Ovis aries: one gene and its partners. The protein of the gene in region 1 purifies or fractionates together with the protein of each later gene. This does not show direct contact. Links are inferred from orthologs where the notes say so. Each region holds a gene or a part of one and is shown on either strand. Other genes may lie near its edges.

What was found.
Region 2: the proteins of SFN (region 1) and GAN purify together in Homo sapiens (affinity purification with mass spectrometry; 3 studies listed by BioGRID and IntAct, with this or other methods). This does not show direct contact. The link is inferred for Ovis aries from reciprocal best matches to the Homo sapiens genes SFN and GAN.
Region 3: the proteins of SFN (region 1) and HDAC7 purify together in Homo sapiens (affinity purification with mass spectrometry; 3 studies listed by BioGRID and IntAct, with this or other methods). This does not show direct contact. The link is inferred for Ovis aries from reciprocal best matches to the Homo sapiens genes SFN and HDAC7.

What each region holds. Positions count from the first base shown.
Region 1 is NC_056055.1:240,067,258-240,070,511, forward strand, and holds SFN (14-3-3 protein sigma), read right to left. Parts: upstream 1,893-3,254; 5' UTR 1,835-1,892; coding exon 1,088-1,834; 3' UTR 568-1,087; downstream 1-567. UniProt on the Homo sapiens protein: Adapter protein implicated in the regulation of a large spectrum of both general and specialized signaling pathways. Binds to a large number of partners, usually by recognition of a phosphoserine or phosphothreonine motif.
Region 2 is NC_056067.1:7,472,660-7,476,307, reverse strand, and holds part of GAN (gigaxonin), read right to left. Parts: intron 1,985-3,648; coding exon 1,872-1,984; intron 1,066-1,871; coding exon 916-1,065; intron 35-915; coding exon 1-34. UniProt on the Homo sapiens protein: Probable cytoskeletal component that directly or indirectly plays an important role in neurofilament architecture.
Region 3 is NC_056056.1:138,794,235-138,797,737, reverse strand, and holds part of HDAC7 (histone deacetylase 7), read right to left. Parts: exon of another isoform or gene 3,359-3,503; intron 3,101-3,358; coding exon 2,981-3,100; intron 2,762-2,980; coding exon 2,664-2,761; intron 1,450-2,663; coding exon 1,331-1,449; intron 721-1,330; coding exon 587-720; intron 270-586; coding exon 185-269; intron 1-184. UniProt on the Homo sapiens protein: Responsible for the deacetylation of lysine residues on the N-terminal part of the core histones (H2A, H2B, H3 and H4).

The DNA of each region.
Region 1 (3,254 bases):
AGAGATGCGGGGGCGGTGGGTTTGGCCCGCCGCGGCCGAACCCGCTCTTGGCGGCTCTTCGCACTCAAGTTGCACTTCTTCGTCAACGGCCTGTTTTATTTTGTCCCCATCTCCGAACATTGGAAGGCGGTCTTCTCCTCAGACCTGAGCTTTTAATGGCGGCGTCATACCCGCCCCCTGGTGATACTTCCCTCCGCTCAGATCTGATGGGACTGTTCCCCGCTTTCAGGTCTGAGGTGCTCAGTGCCGCTCACTGCGGCGTACCCCTCCGACCTCACCCCGGAGACTGTCCCCTCACACCTGAGCGCTTCAGCCTCCCACCCCACGTTCCTGGCAGAGGAGTCTCCAAGCCGCCTTGGCGCTGCTCACCCGACCCTCCCGGGATAGGACCAGTTTGAGGGGACTAGACCAGACCCTGATGGAGAGGGCTGGATCCCCAGCCTCTCTCCTGGCTCCAGAGTCTTGCCTGCGAGTCACTGAGCCAGCCCCAAGGAGGTCAGGGTCTCTGTAACTCACACACCAATCCCTGTCCCGCCCTTCCGCAATAACTGAAAAAGACAGGCGGAGTGTCACAGGGCAACTTTATTGAGAGGAAACATGGTCACACCCAGCAGACATGCTCTCCCTCTCATCCTGGGTCCTGGTTGCTGCACAACACACACACACACACACAGGCGCACACACACACCTTCATCACCAACCTCTGCCACACAGTTCGGTTTTCAGCTCTAAGGATGGGACACTCCTCAATTCCTAAGATCCATAGGTAGCAGGGGCGGGAGGGGGTTGGAGTGGGGAGGAAGTGGTCAGGGTGGGGGGGGGGGTGTCTGGGACGGGGGGCGGGGGTGGAGACAGAGCAGGGCTGGATGATGACCAGTGGCCAGGAGCCCCTGACAGCTGCAGGAAGTATGGAATCCTCTGGCTCCAGGGGGACTCGGCTCTGCTTGTTCCTCTCTATGGAGCCTTTCTGAGCTGGGCCAGAGCGTTTGGGGAGAAGGGTCGGACCTCCCACCCCATACAAGTCCTCTCTGCCGGGAGTGGGGGACTGGAGCGGGCAGGGTAGGGCAGGGCGTGCAGCGGGTGCGGCTCAGCTCTGGGGCTCCTCGGGAGCCTCGCCCCCTTCTTCCCCAGCGTTGTCGGCCGTCCACAGCGTCAGGTTGTCTCGCAACAGCTGCATGATGAGGGTGCTGTCTTTGTAGGAGTCCTCGCTGAGGGTGTGCAGGTCGGCCATGGCCTCGTCGAAGGTGGTCTTGGCCAGAGAGATGGCCTCCTCGGGGCTGTTGGCGATCTCATAGTGGAAGACGGAAAAGTTCAGGGCCAGGCCCAGGCGGATGGGGTTGGTGGGCGGCATCTCCTTCTTGCTGATGTCCATGGCCTCCTGGTAGGCCGACCGGGCTGAGTCGATGATGCGCTTCTTGTCGTCGCCAGTGGCCACTTCGGCCAGGTAGCGGTAGTAGTCGCCCTTCATTTTCAGGTAGAAGACCCGACTTTCGGCGTCACCGGCCTCCTTGATGAGGTGGGTGTCCAGCAAGCCCAGCACTGTGTCGCACACGCCCCGGAGCTCCGTCTCCACCTTCTCTCGGTACTCTTGCACCTCCGGGCCCTTCTCTTCCGAGCTTTCTTCATTGCTCTTTTGCTCGATACTGGACAGGACCCTCCACGCCGCCCGCTGGCCACCCACCACGTTCTTGTAGGCCACTGAAAGCAGGTTGCGCTCTTCGCAGGATAGCTCCTCGCCCTTTTCCACAGCGCTCTTCATGAAAGCTGCCATGTCTTCATAGCGTTCGGCCTGCTCGGCTAACTTGGCCTTCTGGATCAGACTGGCTCTCTCCATGGCTCTGGGGACAGGCAGACAGGCGGGCGGCGGGCTAACTGGCTGCCTCGGAACCAAGGCCGGGTTCTGTGCCTCTCCTGCTCTCTGCCCGCCTTTTGGCTGGAAGGCCAGGCCCAGAGAAGGGTGGGAGGGGCAGAGGGCGGGGCTAGGGCCCCGGACCTGCCTCCCTCTCCTCTTCGCCCCCACACCCTTTCCGCTCTTCCTTAAAGGTAAAAGGGCTTGGATGGCGGGTAGGGAGGCGGGGGCCGGGGGTGAGTCATCCGGACTGTCAGCGGGAGAGATTTGGGCGTTGGCCTCACCTGCACCGACACCTTTCCAGGCCCCAGGCTGCCCGCTCTGGTTCAGGGCTTCTATTACATGCCTACCGTAGGTAGCTGTCCCAGTTGCTGAAATCAGATCCTCCTTCACCGTGTTCTTACACGGGTTGAGGATGGCTTCAGCTACCTGGCCGCTATGGGCCTAGGCAGAGCCCATAAAGCCAGGTGCAGGAGGATGCGGTTCCCAGTCCTGCCAGGTGTGTTTCCCATATTGGTTCAGGAGGGATAACTCTTTGTTTAGGTAGGGCGGTAGCTAGCTTCCCAAGCGCCTTCATACCCATGATCTAACTTAATCTAACCTGCTCTGTCTGTGTGAAATGGGCAAGTCTGTGACACTACTCCCACTGTAGAGGCGGGACCGCTTTAAGGCTCAGAGAAAGATGAGAGTTGCTCACAGTCACACAGCTACTAAATTTGGCTTTGCTCCCATCAAGTCTTTTGACTTGTGAGCTCCAGACTATTTAAAAGTGACATGCAGGCTTCTTCCAGAGTCTACCTGAAATGGTTCTACCCACCACCCCTCACTCCTCCTCAGGATCCTGTCCCCTCTGAGCTCCCAGAATGCAAAAGTGGCAGCTTTCAGAGTGCCACTTAATGAGGTGTTTAACGAGCGGCCTCTGACGCTCTGGCCTAGCCTTTGTAATTAGTCACCCAGTAGGTTTTTTGGATACCTTCCCCATCACAGCACAATTTTCCCTTTCAAGTTGGTGGCCTGTTGCCACTTGTCTGAGGACTTGCCCTCTGGCTGTCCACACCAGGTCACCTGCCCCCCCTGTCTGCCATCATGTGTCAGTGGGGCGCACAGAGGGTGGGGACCCAGCTCACTGGCTGTTCCACTTTCCTGCCTAACTCAGCCCCGCCCTCTGTCAGAGGCAGGGATGCCCGCCACCTGGGTACCCTGCCCAGCTGGGTACCAGGAGGGGGGGAAACGCTAGCAACTGGGGAGAAAAGACAGGACCAAGGCGATGGAGGCGGCTGTGATGCATGTCGTTTCGTTTTATGGGGCAGCAGTCCCAGCTGAGCGCTGCCTTCCTCTTCCCCCCAGCTGAATGAGCCTGCCTCTCAGAAGTTTCCCTGCCCTTCCCTCTGACCACGGCCCCACT
Region 2 (3,648 bases), on another chromosome or scaffold:
AGATTTTCTTCTTCATAGCTGCATAGCAGCCAATCTGGAAGGAGGAAGCAGTGGGGGAGGCAACGCTTATCATTAAAAGTTGGCTGAGTCAACACCAGCTTGGCTGGAACCCTGGGAGATGTTTGGAAAAGGGCCTGACGGAGGCTTTCAAAAATGGGAAGAGCATGGGTAGCACACATACTGTCCTCAGGGAAGGATTAGCGCCACCTAACACTACTCCTCTAAGTGAGATAAGCACACAGGCCTTGCTTTTAAAGGAGCTTTCCAAGCTCTCTTCTTTCACCACTATTTGAAGAGTCCAGGACGCAGAGTCCACAGAGAATGATGTCACTCAACTCTTGCCCCAAATTAAGTCAGCTGGAAGGGCACACACACAGGGAGCGATCATATTACCAGTGAGTCCCAGTACCAAGGTGTGAAATACCCAGGGCGCTAGAAAGGCGCTGGCCTGATGATGAAATGCCTGTCTCCACCAGGGAACAGAAATACAGATCAAGCCCTGAACAGCTAATGGGAGCCCTTAGTCTTCATTCTTCTCAGAAACCAATGGCAGTTCTTTACCTCTGGATCAATGGATTAAAGTTTCCTCCCAAGCGTGCACGACGATTCAGAAAACAGGTTTGGGAGATCGGGTTCCTGCCTAGGTTAGCGCCATCATGGAGCATTCATCAGGTATGGGCCACAGACGCAACAGCGCTGCCCAGAGCCCACCGCCCCCTGCGAACTCTCTCACACAGCTCCCCAGCTTGGTATGTGACTGGCAATAGTGAAGGCAAGAAGCTACCAGCAAAGACAGACTTCTTTAATGTTAATGCTTTAACACTATCAATTGCATTAAAATGCATCTGTGAGCAATGAAGAAACTAACTTTAAAATTCAGCGTGTGAATTAGTCATCACGAGGTATAGTTCTCACCTTTCTAACCATGGTCAAATCAGGTTGCTTTGTCCAGGTTTTAGAATAAATATCATAACATTCCATGGAAATTAGCTCTTTTTCACCATCTTCTCCTCCTAAAACGTACAGCATGCCATCTATCTCCACAATTCCAAAATTATGTCTTGCCTGAAAAAACATTAAAGAGCTTTGTAGACAAAAGGCCGACTATCATATTGAAAGCTGATAATCATACATTTAATACAAATGACAGGTTTTCATTACATTCCTGCAAAGAAATACAAGACTCAGAACTGTGTCTCTCAAACAGTTCTGCTTTCCCCAGAAGCTCACTCTCCTATCACAAGAGACAGAGAACCCAAGTCCAGGAATTTCCCGGAACAAGGGAATTTCACGCGAGGTGGACTCCAGGGTAAAATCCTCACCTTTCGCTGAAGTCAGCTCATGACGAGAAAGAACGATTACCGCCCGATTCCATAAACTGATTTTTGTTCAGCATGGGTAGTAGCGGCTCCCAGCTGACGTGTGAAATTGTGTAAGAGCCCCAGCAACAGGCCCGCCCGTGGTGGTGGTGGGGTGGTGCGTATGGGCCTGCACGAAGGCTGCCCGAAGGGCGACACTCACCCACTCACAACACTGACCACTCAGAGGCCCCTGCCATCCAGAAGTCTGTGCGAACAACTTAAAAGGCCCAGTGTGTGAGGAGGGGTGATGCGGTATGAAGAGAAAGAAAGCAAGGGAGGCGAAAGGGGAGCTGAGGGACAGCGGGGAGGCCTTGCTGAGAAGGAGGCGGGCAGCGTGCCACGCGGGTACCTGGCAAAGGACTGAAGCAAGTGTGTTTCCAGGAGGTGGGGTGGAGGGCACAGGCACGCCAGGCAGGGGTCTCGGTCATTACACTCAAAGGCAGAAGCAAACCGAAGTGCTACCGGGGGTGAAACAAAACGTCAAACAGAAAGAAGCAATGCTCTATCTACCTCGTTCATCGGCGGCAACGCGGTCCACATGTTCGCATCTGGGTCATACTTTTCTCCTGAGCTCAGGGTCTGCTTGTTTTCATCTTGGCCCCCAAATACAAACAAAAACCCTTCTGAAAAAATCAAAGGAGACACACAAGAAAGCTGAAGCGTAAGTTTTCAATACCCACGCCCAGGCGAATGCAAATGCCGTGAGGTCAGACAGTACGTGGAGGCACCTTCTCTGATGACAAGGGACTCAAGATCTTCGTCACACTTCACTCAACCCTTGATGACACAGTTAATCTGTCAGTCACCCCGACCGTTTCACTTCACTCAGAATCTCTGAGCAGATTCCCACTTCTCTGTGGCTTAAAAGGGAAACTGACCCCACCCATCCAGTCATCAGATGACTCAAATTATCTCAGTTTGTCTATTCTGTTCCCCAGCCATATCTTAAAATAAAATAGTTTTCTTAAAGGAGAAACAGCCAAAGAGACACTGGTAAAACCGAAGGGAAATGGAGGCTGGAGAGGTCACCATGCATGGAAGCCACTTTGGTCTGAGGGTATTAGCAATGTGGGAAAAACGCAAGCTTTCTCTTAATGGCTTTGAAGGCATGAAGAAGATAGAAGTCTACATCCCAGGCCCACAGAGAGTGTGGTTTCTGGCAGGAAAGCCTCTTCGAAGTTCTAACCCTCAGGATGAAGGCCAACCAGAATGAGAAGCCAAATTTAAATATCCTTGCTTATCTAGGAAATCTCAAAATTTGAATTTGATTTACAGTAATTACAAATTAGTGTTTTTAGGCAACTGGCAGAAACAAATGCAAAACTTCTATGGAAGACACTACCTTTATCTAAGTTTTAGAATCTAACATTCTAAGATTTTAAATCATTAAAGTTTTCCCACAAATAATTTTTAATAAAATGATCAGCACCCAGCCGAAGATACTCAGGTATACAAAGGAACTAGAATCTATGAAGATGAAGCAGTAGAAACAGACAACAGGAAATAATCTAGAAAAAGACTGCAAATTTCAAATATCAGAGTAATAAGAGAGATGATAAAACAGAAATGCTCACTATGTTATTTAAAGATAACTCTATATGGAGGGATGGACATAGCAGGTTTGAAAAAAAGAAAATTCTAGAGGGGAAAAAAAAGCTGAAATAGATTGAATAAAACATTCAATGGAAGGATTCAATGGCGGATTCATCACAAAGAAAACAAAACAAAAAGAGGGCGGAAGGCAGGGAATGGAGTAAAAAGGTCTAGCCATGTTTAATCTGACCTCCAAAAGCAGAGGGACAGAGGAGAATGAGCAAGGACAACATTCGAAGACATAATAAATAAAAATTTTCGAGATTTGATGATAGGCCAACCTTCAGAGTCAAGATGCCCAACAATCCCCCAATATGGTAAAATTTCAAATAAAATGTTCACCTAATACTGAAATGACAGGGAAAAAAGACAAAAAACAACAGAAAACTTAAACATAGTCCAGAGAAAAGAGAGAGTTTTATATCTGACAACTGACAACAACTAGGAATAACAGAGGCCAGAAGAAAAATATCTTCAGTGTGCTGGACAATAATAGAGGCCAACCTAAAATTCTATACCCGGCAAACATATCCTTTAAGGATGAAGGCAAAATAATGACATCTTTAGACAAATCTTAGAGTTTGCCATTATTAGACCATGTTAAATTCAGAAGGATGAACTTCAGAGAGAAGGAAAATGATCCCAGATGGAAAGTTTGAGGAGTAAGAGGGAAAAAACAAAGAAGTTGGTAAAT
Region 3 (3,503 bases), on another chromosome or scaffold:
TTCACCTGTGGGGGCACCTGCCCCCCATTACTATGGGGTACTTTACAGAATGCCTACTCCGATGCAGCAGCAGCTCCCCTGGGCTGGCTGGGGTTGGAAGACCTGGGGCTCTGGTCCCTGGGGGCAACAGACCCCAGAGTTTTCCCCAAGTCTGGGGTCAGCAGTGTCCTCTCTCCACACTCACTGTGCACTCGGATCACAGCTTCCAGGGAGCGGATGGCATTGAGGTTGGGTTTCTGCTTCCAGCCTTCTTCTGAGAGGGGATCCACCTACAGAAGAAAGCATGCATCAGTTGCCTGCCTCGCAGGGACCCACAGGCCCAGCTCTCTCCCACCCCGGGGCCCTCGCTTTCCAGGCTCAGATAGGCATATGCTCCTGGCTCTGCCTGGGGCAGGGGACGCTGACCTGACGTCTGACCCAGAGAAGAGGCATCCACTCTGTTCCCCTCAGTCCAGGCCTGGCCACCCCCACCCTGCCCATCTGCAAGCCCCCAGGGAGGCGCCCCAACTGCCTGCCCCTTGGGGTGCTCCTGGGAAAACTGGACTGCCTGCCCCACAGCTGCATGGATCAAAGGTGGGCACCTCACCTTGTTGCCCAGAAGAGCAGCCACGCAGGCCTCGGAGGCATCACAGATGGCTGTGAGGTCATGGCCCCCCTCCAGGGCCAGCACTACCGCACCTCCAGCCAAGCTCATGAGCTGCTGTGTCATGTACCCAAAGCCTGCATGGTGGGTGAGAGGGTTAGGAGGGGCCGGGGCAGGGGGGGGAAGCCCTCTCTACCTCTGTTATTTCCCTGCTCGGCTCCTCCCTGAGAAAGAGTGACTCGGGGGACAAATCTCTACTTTACCAATGGCTTTCACATGGAACCCCCTGTAAATCTTACTAGTGTGCCTCACTGAATGTTCAGTGAGGTTAAGGGTGGCTAGTAAGTGACAGGGCGAGGACTCGAACCCGGGGTAGGGACTCCAGCCCATGTCTTTTCCGCTGAGACACACCATATTCCTCCCTGTCCTCCAGGCTCAGCACTGCTGAGTGGGCTCCCTCTGTTCTGAGAACTCTGCTCCTCCCCATCCACCCCCGCCCAGCCTGGGAAGGACACAGTCAGGGTGGGAGAAGTCCTCTGACCGAGCCTCCAGTCTGCAGGACTTGAGTCCCCAGGTGTGACTTAGGCCTTGCTCGATGAACTGACCTGGCCTGTGCATGATCCCCGTCCCATGCTCATGGCCCTGGGCCAGCCACTGTCACCTCCCTGTTGACTTGGGCAGCGCTGCCCACCCACCCCGGCCCAGCCTTCATGCCCTTGCCGCCCCCCTAGCCGGGGCCCTCCTTACACTTGGCAGAAACATGGTAGCCACCCAGTGGGGGCGGGTGACCCTCGGCAGCATCAAACCCAGCCGACACCAGGACCAGGTCCGGAGAGAACTCCCGGGCGATGGGCATCACAACTATCCTGTGTGCGGGGAAGGGGGGCTCACAGGCTGTGCAGGGCCGCCCGGCAGCAGAGGTGGAGGGCCCTGCCTGGGGCCAGTCCTCTCCCACTAACTCTACGGGGGAGCACCCTACTTTCAGGACTCCCAGCAGGATGAGCGGATGCCTCTGGCTTCTCGACCTTGGCCCACCATCCATGTCCCTGGTACAGCCTAAGGACTCAGCCACCCAGGGCTCTTAACTGGCAAGAGGCAGGAAGGAGCCAAGGATGAGGGGATGAAAGAGGAGCCGGTGCACTGTGTTCAGTGGGGAGTGGTGGGCAGGGCCACAGGGAAGGGGCAGGTTACTAAAGCCTCAGGGCAACACCGGAAACACTTGGCGCTCAGCTGCCACCTGCTTAGGACTGAGTCGGCCACACGTCACCACTCACCACCTAAGAGCTGACCAGGGCAACAGATCCTCTGAGGTCCTGGGCCACCAAATCCATGCTCATCCTTTGCACCTGCCGGCTCCTCACAGCTACCTCCCTCCACCGCTCATTCCTCACCCAACCCTAGGTCCACTTTGCTGTCCTTCAAGACCCTGGGTGTACAGATGCCAGGAATCCCAGCCCAGGGCTCCTACAAAATTAACTCTCATTAAGAATACTCCAGAAAAGTATACAGAGACCTATTACCAGGCTTCCCTTTCTCCAAATGGAGTCTAGGAACCCCCAGAGAGAAATACACAACAGCTCCTGAGCCAAGTCCCCCTTACAGAATGGCTTTGCTTAAGCAACGACCCCAATATGGATATCACCTGCTTGTTTTCCCTCCTCCTCCACAGTTTAGGCTTCTCAGCTCCTATGCAAAGTCTGCCTCCTCCAGGCAGCTTTCTTCGCCTTAACATAGCAGCTCTGCTGCTCACTCCCCCAGACTGTCTCCCTGCACTCAGCTCAACACTGGCTCTTGGTAGCGTGTGACATTATAAAGTACGCCTTGACCTTTTCAGTCTGTTTTCCTGTCTCCCCACAGGGACTGGATGCCCCTAGAGTCTAGCGTAACCATGCCTTTCCCTGTGTCTCAGTCCACAGGCCCACTCCAGGGCTGGCTTATAATGATAGTGGCTGGCTTATAGTGATTAGATGAGGACGAGCTGACAAGCCACCCGATCACCTCCAAACTGGTGCTGCTGTAAAAGGGGAAGAGAGGGGGGCCCTGCTGGGCCAGGCCTCCTCTGCGCCCCTAGTGAGCTTACCTGAAGGCAGCCAGGTACTCAGGATCCCCCATGGGAGGGTCAAGACCTCCAGCCCAGGCCACGTTGACATTGAAGCCCTCACCGCTGCCAGCTCCCACCTGGAACACAGGAGGCAGGAGATGTGTAGAGAGTAGTGTCCCGGGAGCAGAACCCCTGGATGTCAGTGCTACAAGAGTAGCTCATGCAGCCCCTTCACTTCCGAATGTAGAAACGGAGGATCCGAGAGGCTCAGCAGCCTACCCAGGATCACACAGCTAGCTGTGACAGAGACAGTTAGGGCTACTCGTGAGAGTGAGCGGGCCGGAAGATGGGGTTACCTCATCCACAGCCCCACTGCCAGGGAAGAAGTTGCCGTCGTCATGGCGATGAAGGGAGATGTACAGCACAGTGGGGTCCTGGTAGAAGGTCTGCTGGGTGCCGTTGCCATGGTGAACGTCCTGTGGAGGGAGATGGGCAGTGAATTAGGGCAGGTCTGAAAGCAGAGAGATGGGGGCTCGGACAGGCTGGAAAGGTCTCCAGGTCAGTGACCATTGTGAAGGTCGGGAGTCTAGACCTGGGGGTGAGAACACGGGGGCTCCTAGAGTTAAACTGTCAAGGGACTCATGGGTGTTCAGATATGTACATAACACGCTGGGTGGGGGTGATGATAACATGAGGCCCGGAAGGGGAGGAGCTGCACCGAGGGCAGGCCAGCCAGAGCCAGAGGGAGAGTACGTGTTGGGGGAGGGCGAGTGCCAGGAGAGGGAAAAGTCCAGGGTCACACATCAGGAACCCTTACTACTGCGTCTTGCTCAAGGTCAGGGTGTGATGCAAGCGATGGAAACCACACTCCATTACAGA